3 linked regions of the Macaca fascicularis genome follow. The protein of the gene in region 2 purifies or fractionates together with the protein of the main gene of each other region. This does not show direct contact. Links are inferred from orthologs where the notes say so. Each region holds a gene or a part of one and is shown on either strand. Other genes may lie near its edges. The genes, in order: MTMR10, MTMR2 and MTMR12.

The links.
Region 1: the proteins of MTMR2 (region 2) and MTMR10 purify together in Homo sapiens (affinity purification with mass spectrometry; 5 studies listed by BioGRID and IntAct, with this or other methods). This does not show direct contact. The link is inferred for Macaca fascicularis from reciprocal best matches to the Homo sapiens genes MTMR2 and MTMR10.
Region 3: the proteins of MTMR2 (region 2) and MTMR12 purify together in Homo sapiens (affinity purification with mass spectrometry; 5 studies listed by BioGRID and IntAct, with this or other methods). This does not show direct contact. The link is inferred for Macaca fascicularis from reciprocal best matches to the Homo sapiens genes MTMR2 and MTMR12.

The regions. Positions count from the first base shown.
Region 1 is NC_088381.1:7,206,337-7,210,086, forward strand, and holds the start of MTMR10 (myotubularin-related protein 10), read left to right. Parts: upstream 1-1,533; 5' UTR 1,534-1,921; coding exon 1,922-1,981; intron 1,982-2,582; coding exon 2,583-2,643; intron 2,644-3,750.
Region 2 is NC_088388.1:94,931,782-94,935,531, reverse strand, and holds the start of MTMR2 (phosphatidylinositol-3,5-bisphosphate 3-phosphatase MTMR2), read left to right. Parts: upstream 1-1,077; 5' UTR 1,078-1,233; coding exon 1,234-1,313; intron 1,314-1,325; exon of another isoform or gene 1,326-1,496; intron 1,497-3,750. UniProt on the Homo sapiens protein: Lipid phosphatase that specifically dephosphorylates the D-3 position of phosphatidylinositol 3-phosphate and phosphatidylinositol 3,5-bisphosphate, generating phosphatidylinositol and phosphatidylinositol 5-phosphate.
Region 3 is NC_088380.1:32,858,302-32,861,951, reverse strand, and holds part of MTMR12 (myotubularin-related protein 12), read left to right. Parts: intron 1-1,554; coding exon 1,555-1,633; intron 1,634-3,024; coding exon 3,025-3,095; intron 3,096-3,650. UniProt on the Homo sapiens protein: Acts as an adapter for the myotubularin-related phosphatases. Regulates phosphatase MTM1 protein stability and possibly its intracellular location. By stabilizing MTM1 protein levels, required for skeletal muscle maintenance but not for myogenesis.

The sequences.
Region 1 (3,750 bases), on a different chromosome or scaffold from region 2:
ATAAAACTACTTCTATGGACTGAATTATGTTCTTCCAAAATGCTAACGTTGAAACCCTAACCCCTAGTATGGCTATATTTGGAGATTTTAGTAGGTAATTAAGGCTGAATAAGGTAATAAGAGTGGGGCTCTAATCTGATAGGATTAGCGTCCTTACAAGAAGAGACACCAAGAGATCCCAGAGAGCTTGTTACATACCCTCCGCGCACAGTGTGAGCACACGGTGAGATGGCAGCCATCTGCAAATCAGAGAGCCCTCGCCTGTCTGCCTGCCACAAGTCAGGCAGATCCCTACCTTGCCAACACCTTGATCTTGGACTTCCATACTCCAGAATTGTGAGAAATTAATGTCTGCTCTTTAAGCCATCAACCTGTGGTATTTTGTTACGGCAGTCTGAGCAGACTAATACAACTAGATATCTGGGAAATGTTAAGACAATAATAAATCTGGAAATAGACTTTTTCCACTTTTCTGTTGTATGGTCGCATATTAGAGTTGCAGATCCTAAGAAAACCTGTACAGAAAAACCCAAAGCACAGAGTCATTTAAGTGTAAAGAAAAAGCCAATGATTGCTTGAAGAGTATTTGTAGAAAATATCCATTGAATATAGAGGAATAACAGCATATCCATAAAAATTTTTTTAAAAGTGTGCACGACAGTGATTTTAACACTTCGAATCCAATGGAACTAACATTTTAAAATACAGTTATGGCCAGGCACGGTGCCTCATGCCCATAGTCCTAGCTACTTGAGAGGCTGAGGCAGGAGGATCACTTGAGCCCAGGAGGTCAAGGCAGCAGTGAGCCCTGATCATGCCAGTGCACTTCAGCCCAGGCGATGGTGTGAGACCCTGACTCTTTAAAAAATAGTTATGGTTATGGTTCCTGGGCAGAGTGGAATTCAAACATGTTAACCTGAAAGATCAGTAGGGTTCTATATCCAGGATAAATCATTTTCAGAAAAAGAATAACTTTCTGAATCTTTATGTAAATTGTTAAATGTTCCTGTGAGTAACACTCATCAGTATGACTGTGACTGATAGGGCTACATGGGAGCTTCCCTGTGACATGAATCAGAAAGTGCTGGATTGGGGTTTGATTCTTCAAGGTATAAGAAGGACCTAGTCTCAAGTCATAGAATCACCAAAATGTAACACCACTAGCCCCCTCCCACCAAAGTCTGCTCCAGTCTGAATTACGGTAAGAGCTCAGAAGTGACCTGTGCTTGGCGGCACCGGCCCACTTTCCCAGTGCCGGTTCCTCGCATACTGGGCGCAGACGGGGTGACCGCCTAACCCCTGGACCCAAGTCCCCTTCCCCTGCCCTGGGCTCCTCCCTGAGCTCGCCCGGGCCGGAGGGCGAAGTCGGCCCATGTGTAAGTCATGGGAACTGTCCCAGGACTGCAGTACGGCCAGAAGATGCCCCGCGCCGCCGTCCCAGGCCGCCTACCGCTGCCGCCGTGGCCCCCGCAGGCCGCCGTAGGCCCCCACGGGCCGTCTGACCCCTGCGGGCTGCCGTAGGAGCACCCTCCTGAGGCCGCGCTCTCGAGATGGCTGCCGGGCTCCGCTCCCAGCGGCGCCCGGGCTGAGGGCCCGCCAGCGGGCACCCGGCGCCACCCCTGCGTTCCGGCACTAGCACGGGCTACGGCCCGGGAGCGGCGGGCCGCGGCCCTGCGCGCGCCGTCTCTCGGGGCGGGGCACCGGGCCCCTTCCGGGGATGAGCCCCGGCGCCCGCGTCGGTCTGGCTGTGCCCGGCCCCTCCCCGCTCGGGCGGGCGCTGCGCCGTGTCCCCGCCCGTCAGTCAGCCCGGCTCGGCTGGCCGCAGAAGGGGCCTGGGCGGCCGCACTGAGAGCTTTACGCCTGGAGGCGTCGGCGCTGCAGCTGACCCGCGACGGGAACAGAGCGAAGAGGCGGCGGCACCATGTTCTCCCTCAAGCCGCCCAGACCCACCTTCAGGTCCTACCTCCTGCCGCCGCCCCAGGTAAACAACCCCTCCCCGCGAGCGCCTCTCTCCTCGGCGCTTCCGTGGAGCCTCCAGGCCGACCCCCGGGAACTGGAGGACCCCGGGAGGCTGCGCGCGTCTCCCTGCCCTCAGCCGCGCGGCTGCCTGGTTCCCGGCGCCGCGAAATGCGCCTTCTCGGGAGCCCCACTGGCTCGGCGAAAACTTGTAAAACTCTTCTGCAGCCATTCTCTGCCCGAAGTCCGTCCTCCGTAGTTTTACCGAGTGCTGAGACCCAGGGGAGCCTTGGGAGCTGGGGTTTTCTTTAGTTTCCAACCCGTCGACCGTCCCTCCTATGACCGCCAGCGTGATTGCAGCGCTTGGGGTCACTGGTCGAGGTGGTTAACCGTCTGTCATAAATGTGAACACCTGGAAGCGACACTGGCCGTTTAAGTAATTTTTATTATCAGGCTTCCAAGTCGATAATGAGCAGATCTTTAAAAGAGCTCAGTTAATATGTGAAAGAATTTAAATGGGGGCTATGTGTCTTTCGCCTGTGTCATCACTTAGAAAACATTTGCTGTAGCGTTTTACGGAGGGTGGGGGTATTGAGATTTTGATTTATTTTGCTCATGTATTTCAGACTGACGATAAGATCAGTTCGGAACCGAAGATTAAAAAACTGGAGCCAGTCCTTTTGCCAGGTAAACGTTAGTTAGAATTTTAGCAGATACTTTAGCAATGTATTTTGGTCTAAGATTGTTCTGCCGACTAGTATCATGTGGTTAACTTCCCTTCTCTCATTAAACTTTCTCCAGTTAAAAATCTAGTGACTGAGAGGAGAAAATGGAACTGTCAAGAATGTCATTACCTCATTTCCTTTTTTGTCTCCTGAATTTCTTTTTGAAAATACGTATATGTTTAATTGCTTGGGTAGTAAAAGTACTCTTTGCTTACGTGTTTGTCTGCCACTTATGGCATTAATGGTTAATAGTCAAATCATTTTAATGCATTTTGATAGTATAAAAAGAGGCCTTTATTATGTTTCTGTCTCTATACAAATAACAGAGCTCGGTGAACTTTGAATTACTTGCTTGGCAATTGTTTTTTGAAGTTGTCAGCTGTATTTGCAAATTTGCTTGTTTCAGTTTAGAAGTAGGCTTTTCCCAGCAGAGACACTTAATTGACATTTGGGGCCAGATAATTCATAGTTGGAGGGGCAGGCTGCCCTTTGTATAGCAGCAAAGATGGTCTCCACCCACTAGATGCCAGTAGTAGTACCCTTATTCCCCACCACCTAGTTGCGACCTAGTTACCACACCAAAATGCCTCTAGTCATTGCCAATTTTTTTTTTTTTTTGTCCCCGGCCTCTGGGGGACAAAAATCTCACAATAGAGAATCACTGCTGTCGAACAAAATTTACTATGGGTGACCTTAGAGATAGAAGTAGGGATTGGTGGCAGAAAGGAGTCTGTTTTAGAGCATAGAAAATATTGGTATGGCGTTTAGAATTGTATAACAGTTGTATAATAATTAGGAAAAGTCGGTTGTTTAATGCGATTATTAGGGGGAAGTAGCCAGATACTTAGGAAAGCCTGTTTTAGACCTGAAATCAAATACTAGTTTGTGTGGCTACTATGAACATTGTAAAATCTGACTCATTACTTAAAGCCAAATCTAGTAAAATAATTAGAATTTTGTAGGTAAAAATTGAACAAATGTGGAAACTTTAAAATTTTAAATATTGTATAGGGACAAAATATTAAAAACACCAAACTTTGGTTCCATATGATAGATGCTAACTCTTAAA
Region 2 (3,750 bases):
AAATAAGGAAATTCTTCTATGAGTCATTATAGATATTTAAGCTTGTTAAAAAATGTTTTTGACTACCTACTCCTTTTGCCTACAGAGTACAGTTAAGATCTCTTAAAAATTATGGAAATAAAAACAATCGGTCGCTGCCTGTCCTTGCCAAACTGAAAAAAGGAACAGAACAGCTAAGCCTTTTGTGCTTAAACACATACTCATCAGTAACTACTTTAGCTCCTACAACTAAGCTAGGTTGTTCTTCTGGGGAATGTACTTGCAAGTTAATATTGCACTGCAAGTATAAGGTTTTTTAAAAGACATCAGTTGTACGTTATAAATTAAATCCAGTTTAAATCAATATGATTCTATTTATCCTAGCAAGGAAGTTTTTTTCTTTTTAAGGATCGTCTGATTTTTTTTTTTACAGTAATAATCTTTGCATAATTTTACACCCCATACATGACATGATTGGGATTCAATCTCAATCAGAAAAATCCCTTTATGGTGTCCTTCTTACGTCCTCTGTAACAGAAAAATCCTAGCAGAAGCATTTCCTCTTTACCCAGTTCCTGTTCTCTTATCACAGTTCTATTCCTCCACATTCCCTTCCTGCTAGGCACGGGAATTTGAAAGGGCATGGAAACACTGGTAAAAGTTTGTCTTCTACTTGGGTAATCCAATACCACCGCATCCAGTAGTATATAATTCTTCTTGCATGTATATCAGTTTCCTCCCCAATCCCTCTTCCATACCTCTTTCTCACTTTTCTCTCATTATCCTGTCCTCTTGTTTTCCTTGACCTCCACATTCCTGTCTCAATCATCCTCCTGGCCTCAGGTCCTTATCTCTTTCCTGATACCCTCCTGCTTAGTGTTCCCTCATTCCTCTTACACCTAGGATTATCTCCTCCTTCCCTAAGGGTCTGGTCCTTCATCCCTCCCGCTTCACCAGACCCTCTCACTCTGGGAGCCGCCACCTCCCTTTCCCCAAGACCAGAGGTCGCGCGGCCGGACACAGCTAGCACTGCGCGTCGGTGGCGACATCTGAGCGGGCGCAGTGGGGTCTTCCCGCGGCCCAGCAGCCTACGGGCGCGGTGCACTCTGGGGGAACATGGCCGCTTCCGGTCTCCCTCCCGGGCCGGCGCTGGCCTGACTGCGGCCCCTGCCCGCAGCACTCCGCCCTCTGCTTCTCCCGCCCTGTGGCCGCGAAGACCGCTTCAGCCTTTCCCTCTGCTGCCCCTGCCGCGCCATGGAGAAGAGCTCGAGCTGCGAGAGTCTTGGCTCCCAGCCAGCGGCGGCTCGGCCGCCCAGCGTGGACTCCTTGTCCAGGTAACCAGGACGCCCAGGGCCCCGCCCAGCGTCCGAAGGGGATGGAGAGGGGCCGGGGACCCACTGGATTGTTGTCCCGATTCGCGGATTCTGGTTTCTGAAGGCTGCACCGAAATTCCTTCCCCGGGACTTGGGAACCACTTCTGCCTCCCTCTCTGGGGCGTGGAGGCTGAGGAAAAGGAGGTTAAAACTCGCTGCTTCTTTATCGATTCCTCCACCTTTCATATTCCGATCTCTTTTTCTCCCCAAAGGAGGTGGCCCCAGTTAATTACTTTCTCCTGTCTCTCATTCCCTCTCAAACCTTTTTTAAGACAGTTCCCCCCGCCCCCATTCTTTTCCCCACATTTCCTGTCTTTCTCTATCACTTTTTCCAAAACCATCCTTCAGTCAATCTTTCTTCCTCCACCCTTTCTTATGTCTTTGGGTTTTGGATTCTTGCCCAAGCCTTTTCTCTCTTTTCATGGCTTCACTTTCTTAATTTCTTTCATGCTTTTCTCTACACTCTGATTTTCTTCTCGCCTCTCCTTTTGCTTAAATATGTAAATAAAAATGTCTCCTGTGCTTCTCTTTTCTAAATCTTCCAGCTGAAAGTCAGTATCAAGGAATCTGAGTGATTTTTATCCCCAGTGATAGGTGTAAGAAAACAAAATGAGTGGTAGTTTTCTTCCTTCTTGGGCTACTGGTTCTCCAGGTTGTCATTTATCTTGTAACAGATGGGAATTTTATCCTGGAATTTTGAGGAGGACTTTATGCAGCTTTGCGGAGAGCTTTTATGAATATTAACTAGACGCGTTTTGGATGCGGTCTTTTTCTTTGATTTTTAAAATAATGATTTAAAATTTTATTAAAAAATAAGACCTGTATTTGCTTTTTATGCAGCCATGATGAAATCTGGTTCTTTTCCACTGAATAATAGTCTAATTGTTATTAGAGAGTTATTCGATAACTGCTGTGTGAAGACACAATTTTCATTTTCTCCTCGAATCAAGTGAAGTGGCTCTATTATAATTCATTTTGGATTCTGCTAAATATGGGTAGTTATTGCCTTTTTTCCTATTGGTGTTCAGTACCTCATTGGGGAACCACTGTCTGATCCCATCATTCTAAATCTCTATATGCATTCATAGCTCCCTGCCCAGTCGTTTTTCAGAGTCCTTAATAAGTACACTATAATTGTTGGCTTAAAGTGCCTTTTCTACGAGGCTATAAGCTATTGTACTTGAGGGCAATCTTAATCATCTTCGTATCTCCAGCACTTAACATAGTCTCAGCCTGTGATAGGTGCTCACTACGTTCATTTTTTTGAATTTGTAGCCTGAATTATCCACGAGAGGAGTTTTCTTTGCAGTTTGATTATATATATTGCACGTTTAAATCAAGTATTTTTTGAATTTTGTATTGCTTTGAAATGTAGAAAGCTGAGGATTAACATGTTTAGTTGTAAAATTCATTCAGAAAACAGGTTGGAAAATTCTAATTTTATGGGAAAGTTACAAATGACAACTATGCCTCAGAATAGAATAAGAGGCAACCAGTACTCTCATCCGAGGCAGAGGAGTCAGAACCACATGAAGCAGCATAGTATGTTAGAAAGAAGGAAGTACTGGAAGTTAGGAAGCTCCCATGCTGAAGTCTCTGGCTGAGCTAGCTCTTTGGTCTTTATCGTTTAACCTTTTTAGTCTACGGTTTTCTCATCTTTTAAAATAAGAAGCTTAATCTAGAAAATCTGTAAGGTCCCTTGGAACTCTAAAATTGTCATTTTTTAAATGTTAATGACAATACTAAGATAAATGCATTGGTATTAATTTTAAAGATAATTCCTTTGCAAATAACCTGTTTTGGATATTCGCAATTACGCTAAATAAGTGTCTTTTATTATCACAAACTAATATTTCTAACGGTGCCACTTTAACATATTTATTTCCTAAAAAAGAAAGCCCAGCAAATTTAAAGTTTATGAACTTCTTTATAAAAAAGTATTTACTGACATGAATTTTAGAAAATTAAGTACTCCTCGAGAGAATTGTGATTATAGATTAGTCTCATCCTCTCTGGACAAAAATATAAGTATGATTCCTGTTTTCCATGAGAGAATGCCAGCTTTCATTACTCCCCTCTGGAAGACAGAAAAGTAGTATTTACTTAATGTCTACCGTATGGAAGTTTCCCTGCTAAATTCTACGTATCTTTTATTTCATTAATCATCATACCTGTTTGTGGCACTCTCTTTAATCAACAGTATGTAACAGATACATTATAGACACTAGTTAGAAAGCTTAATTTTAAACAATCTAGGCTAACACTTCTTCGCAGTTGATTCTAATACATTGCCAGTGTGAAAAACTTAATCTAGGCTAACACTTCATCTCAGGTGATTCTAATACATTGCTAATGTGGAAAACTTAATCTAGGCTAACATTTCATCGCAGGTGATTCT
Region 3 (3,650 bases), on a different chromosome or scaffold from region 2:
AGAGGTTGCAGTGAGCCGAGATTGTGTCATTGCACTCCAGCCTGGGTGACAAGAGCAAAACTCCATCTCAAAAAAAAAAAAAAAAAAATCCTTAAAGGGAACCCATTTTTTTTTTTTTTTTAGTTAATAATGTAAAATAGACTACAATAACGTGGTTAAATTCCCAGGACCCTCAGTTCTTTAGGGGTGAACTAAATGGCTGGTATCATCTCTTATGAGAGTGTCTTAAACTTGATGGAGCTTATGATGAGAAATAAAGTTTATATTTTTTATTTTCATCTTTTAATTCCATGTTTTCACATACTTTTGAAGTCCCCTTGTATATGCTAACTATGCTAGGTGTTGGTGATAAAGAGAAATATAACACCAGGAACTTACACTCTTGCAAGGGAAACAGCAATGTATGACTCTAACTCAAACTAAAACATTGCAATACATGTTTACTGTTTAATCAAGGACATTCATTCTAGTTTTATTTCAATCACTCAGGACTTTCAGGGATATCTGTCTTTTATTGATTTGAGTTTGCAACTTTTTTTTTCCTTTTCTTTTTTTTTTTTTTTTGAGACAGAGTTTCGCTCTTGTTGCCCCATCTGGAATGCAATGGTGTGATCTCAGCTCACCGCAACCTCTGCCACCCCGGTTCAAGCAATTCTCCTGCCTCAGCCTCCCAAGTAGCTGGGATTACAGGCATGCGCCAGCACCCCCAGCTAATTTTTTTTGTATTTTAGTAGAGACGGGGTTTGTCCATATTGGTCAGGCTGGTCTCGAACTTCTGACCTCGGGTGATCCACCTGCCTCGGCCTCCCAAAGTGTAGGGATTATAGGCATGAGCAACTGTGCCCAGCCTTTTTTTTTTTTTTTTTCATTTTTTAGAAACAGGGTCTCACTCTGTTGCCAAGGCTGGGGTGCAGTGGCACCATCATAGCTCACTGCAGCCTCAAACTCCTGGCCTCAAGTGATCTTCCTGCTTCTGGGATTATAGTGCTGGGATTATAGGCATGAGCCACAGCACCCAACCTGAGTTTGCAACTTTTAAATATATTGGATTTCTGTAAGATTTAAGGTTCTCTGTTTTATAAGGCATGTAGGGGGAGTCATGTCATGGTATGCTGGGTGCACAAACTTGTGCATTGAGATTCTAATGAAAGTCCAGTCTGACCCTTAGGCTTCTGTGGCATCAGGATGGATCCAGTTGCGTTTTCCACTTCTAGAATTAGCAGCCTAGATGTCAGCTATTTCTGCCTAAAGCATGTTACTCTCTGTCGACTTACAGGATGAACCATGGCTTTGTGTATGCATTGTAGGAATTTCTTATTTCAGCAATAAAGATCTCTTTTTGACCACCAAAACCTCCTAGGGCCCTACAGCTCAGAAACCGTTTCAGCTGAAGTTTTGAAATGACCCTTACTCATAATAGAGTCCTGTGCCTGGATTCTGCAGTTTGAGTCAGGACTGTTAATCTCAATGACACAGTTGAGGAGCACAGGATTTTTGTGGCAAGTATGTCAGTGAACAATGACCTGACGTCTTTACTCCTTTTTCTTTTTTTAGATAACAGTACTGAATTTTGGGACACAGATATAAAATGGTTTTCTCTGTTGGAAAGTAGCAGCTGGCTTGACATAATCAGGTATTTCAAACCATTGTTTTACTCTTGAATTTTATAATTGTCTAACTCAGGGTAGTAGATCAAACTGACAAATAATTTAACTGGTATTTCAAAGTTAAATATTCTTAGATCACATGTTCTACAGCTAGATTTTATATTTGCTACTTATTTCTGTGCACATTTGATAGGAATTTATGAACATGCCACCTGCTTACAAGGAGGTGTACTCTACAGACAAGGCATTGAAAAACCACAGAAAGAGTGTGACAACCCAGAATTATTATTGAGGCAGCAGTGCTGGCCTCCAGGGAGGAAATTGAGGGTGAGAACAGGAGTGATACTGACTTTTCACTGAATACCTCTTTTAATCTTGTGTCTTATGCATATATTATCTGTGTTTTTAAAAACCATGATTAATGTCAGTTATTCGTGGTTTGGGAGTTAGGTTCAGAGTTCCAGAGAACAGTTATATTGCCTTTCCTGCTTTCTATATCGAATAGCTCTTCTCTGTTGCCATTAAATAGAGGATATGGCAGAGAAAGGTGCAAAACAGAAATGATGATCAAGGTGAGACAGTAGGTCTAATGCTAGGCTACATTTCAGGAGGGAGAGCAATGCTTCCTGCTGCCTCACACACATTCTCCCTCCATTCTGAAGTGAGTACTATGGAAAGGAGCCTTGGCCCTCCAGACACTGAACTGTGCTTCAGACATCCTGCTACACATCTCATAATTTGAATATATAATGGGAGACAGGGATAAATGTTGTAAAAGCAAATAACCCTTCTTTGTGTGGGGTGGGCAGAGAAGGGTGAGCATCTCTAGCCAGATGAAGGGTCGGGGTGTGGGAAGGGAGGGTGGCTGGGGGGTAGGAGAGGACACCTCTGCGAGCAGAAGACAACATACATGAAGGCCCCCAGTTATACAAGTCCAAGCTGGGAATAATGGCAACAGTTGCAAAGGGAATAATGTGTAGAGAGAGACAAAAAGGATTTCTGAGCATATTGGAGCTTTTTAGCCACTCTGATACATTCAGCAGGTCACCTTAAGGAAAGTAATCTGGACATGTCTCGCATTCTCCAGGTATGTTTGATTTTTATGAATCTTGCTCAGCAGCAGACTCAAGCATGAGTTTTTAATAAGAATGTCTAGTTTAGAAATTACCTAGGAGCATTTTCATATCAATTTTAGGATTCCCTTCTGAAAATTTTCAGTTTCTAATGGGCAGGAATATATCCTGGTATTTAAATAATGTAAATGGAAGTTAGTTTCTTTTCTGGAGGATTTTAGCATGGAAAAAAAAAAATAAGAGAGAAGACTGAAGATCAAGTCAGACTATCTCTAAACTACTTAATGTTTTTGTTACCAAGCTCATGAACTAATGCCCCTTTTTCTTGTCTCTTTCCTATTTAGACGTTGCCTGAAAAAAGCAATAGAGATTACAGAATGTATGGAAGCACAAAACATGAATGTTCTTCTTTTAGGTAATATATAGGAAGCACAAAGGATGATTTCCATTTTCCTTCACTTGAGATTCAATTTTTATATATATAGCTTTGTGTATTTGGAAACAAAAGGAGTGAGTTAGTGTAGAAATCCTTCCTATTCCTTTCTCCCTAACCTTGGAATCCTTTGCCTTGGATTTCAGTGTTAGAGTTTAAAACAAAATTCTTTCACTTCAAACTTGGCAGACCTATTCACCATCCATGAAGGAATTTTTTGGTATCTTTACCAAAGCTCACATTTCTTAATGTTTTGGATTTTGTTTTATATTAACTGAGCTTGGTTAAAGTTAAAATCTTTTTAGAATCCTTCTTATATAAAGAGATCCATGGATGACTTGGTTGTTATTTTTATATCTTTGTGGTTGACAACTTTATACAGTTACCATAGAAACTTGGTGGCCTGTGAGTTCCTTTTCCTCAGTGGGCTTAACTTGCTGTACATGATGCAAACATTCAGAATGTGCGAAAGCAAGTGTAAACCACCATGCAGCGAAGACTGGTGCTGTAACTAGTTACATATGAACTCAAACATTA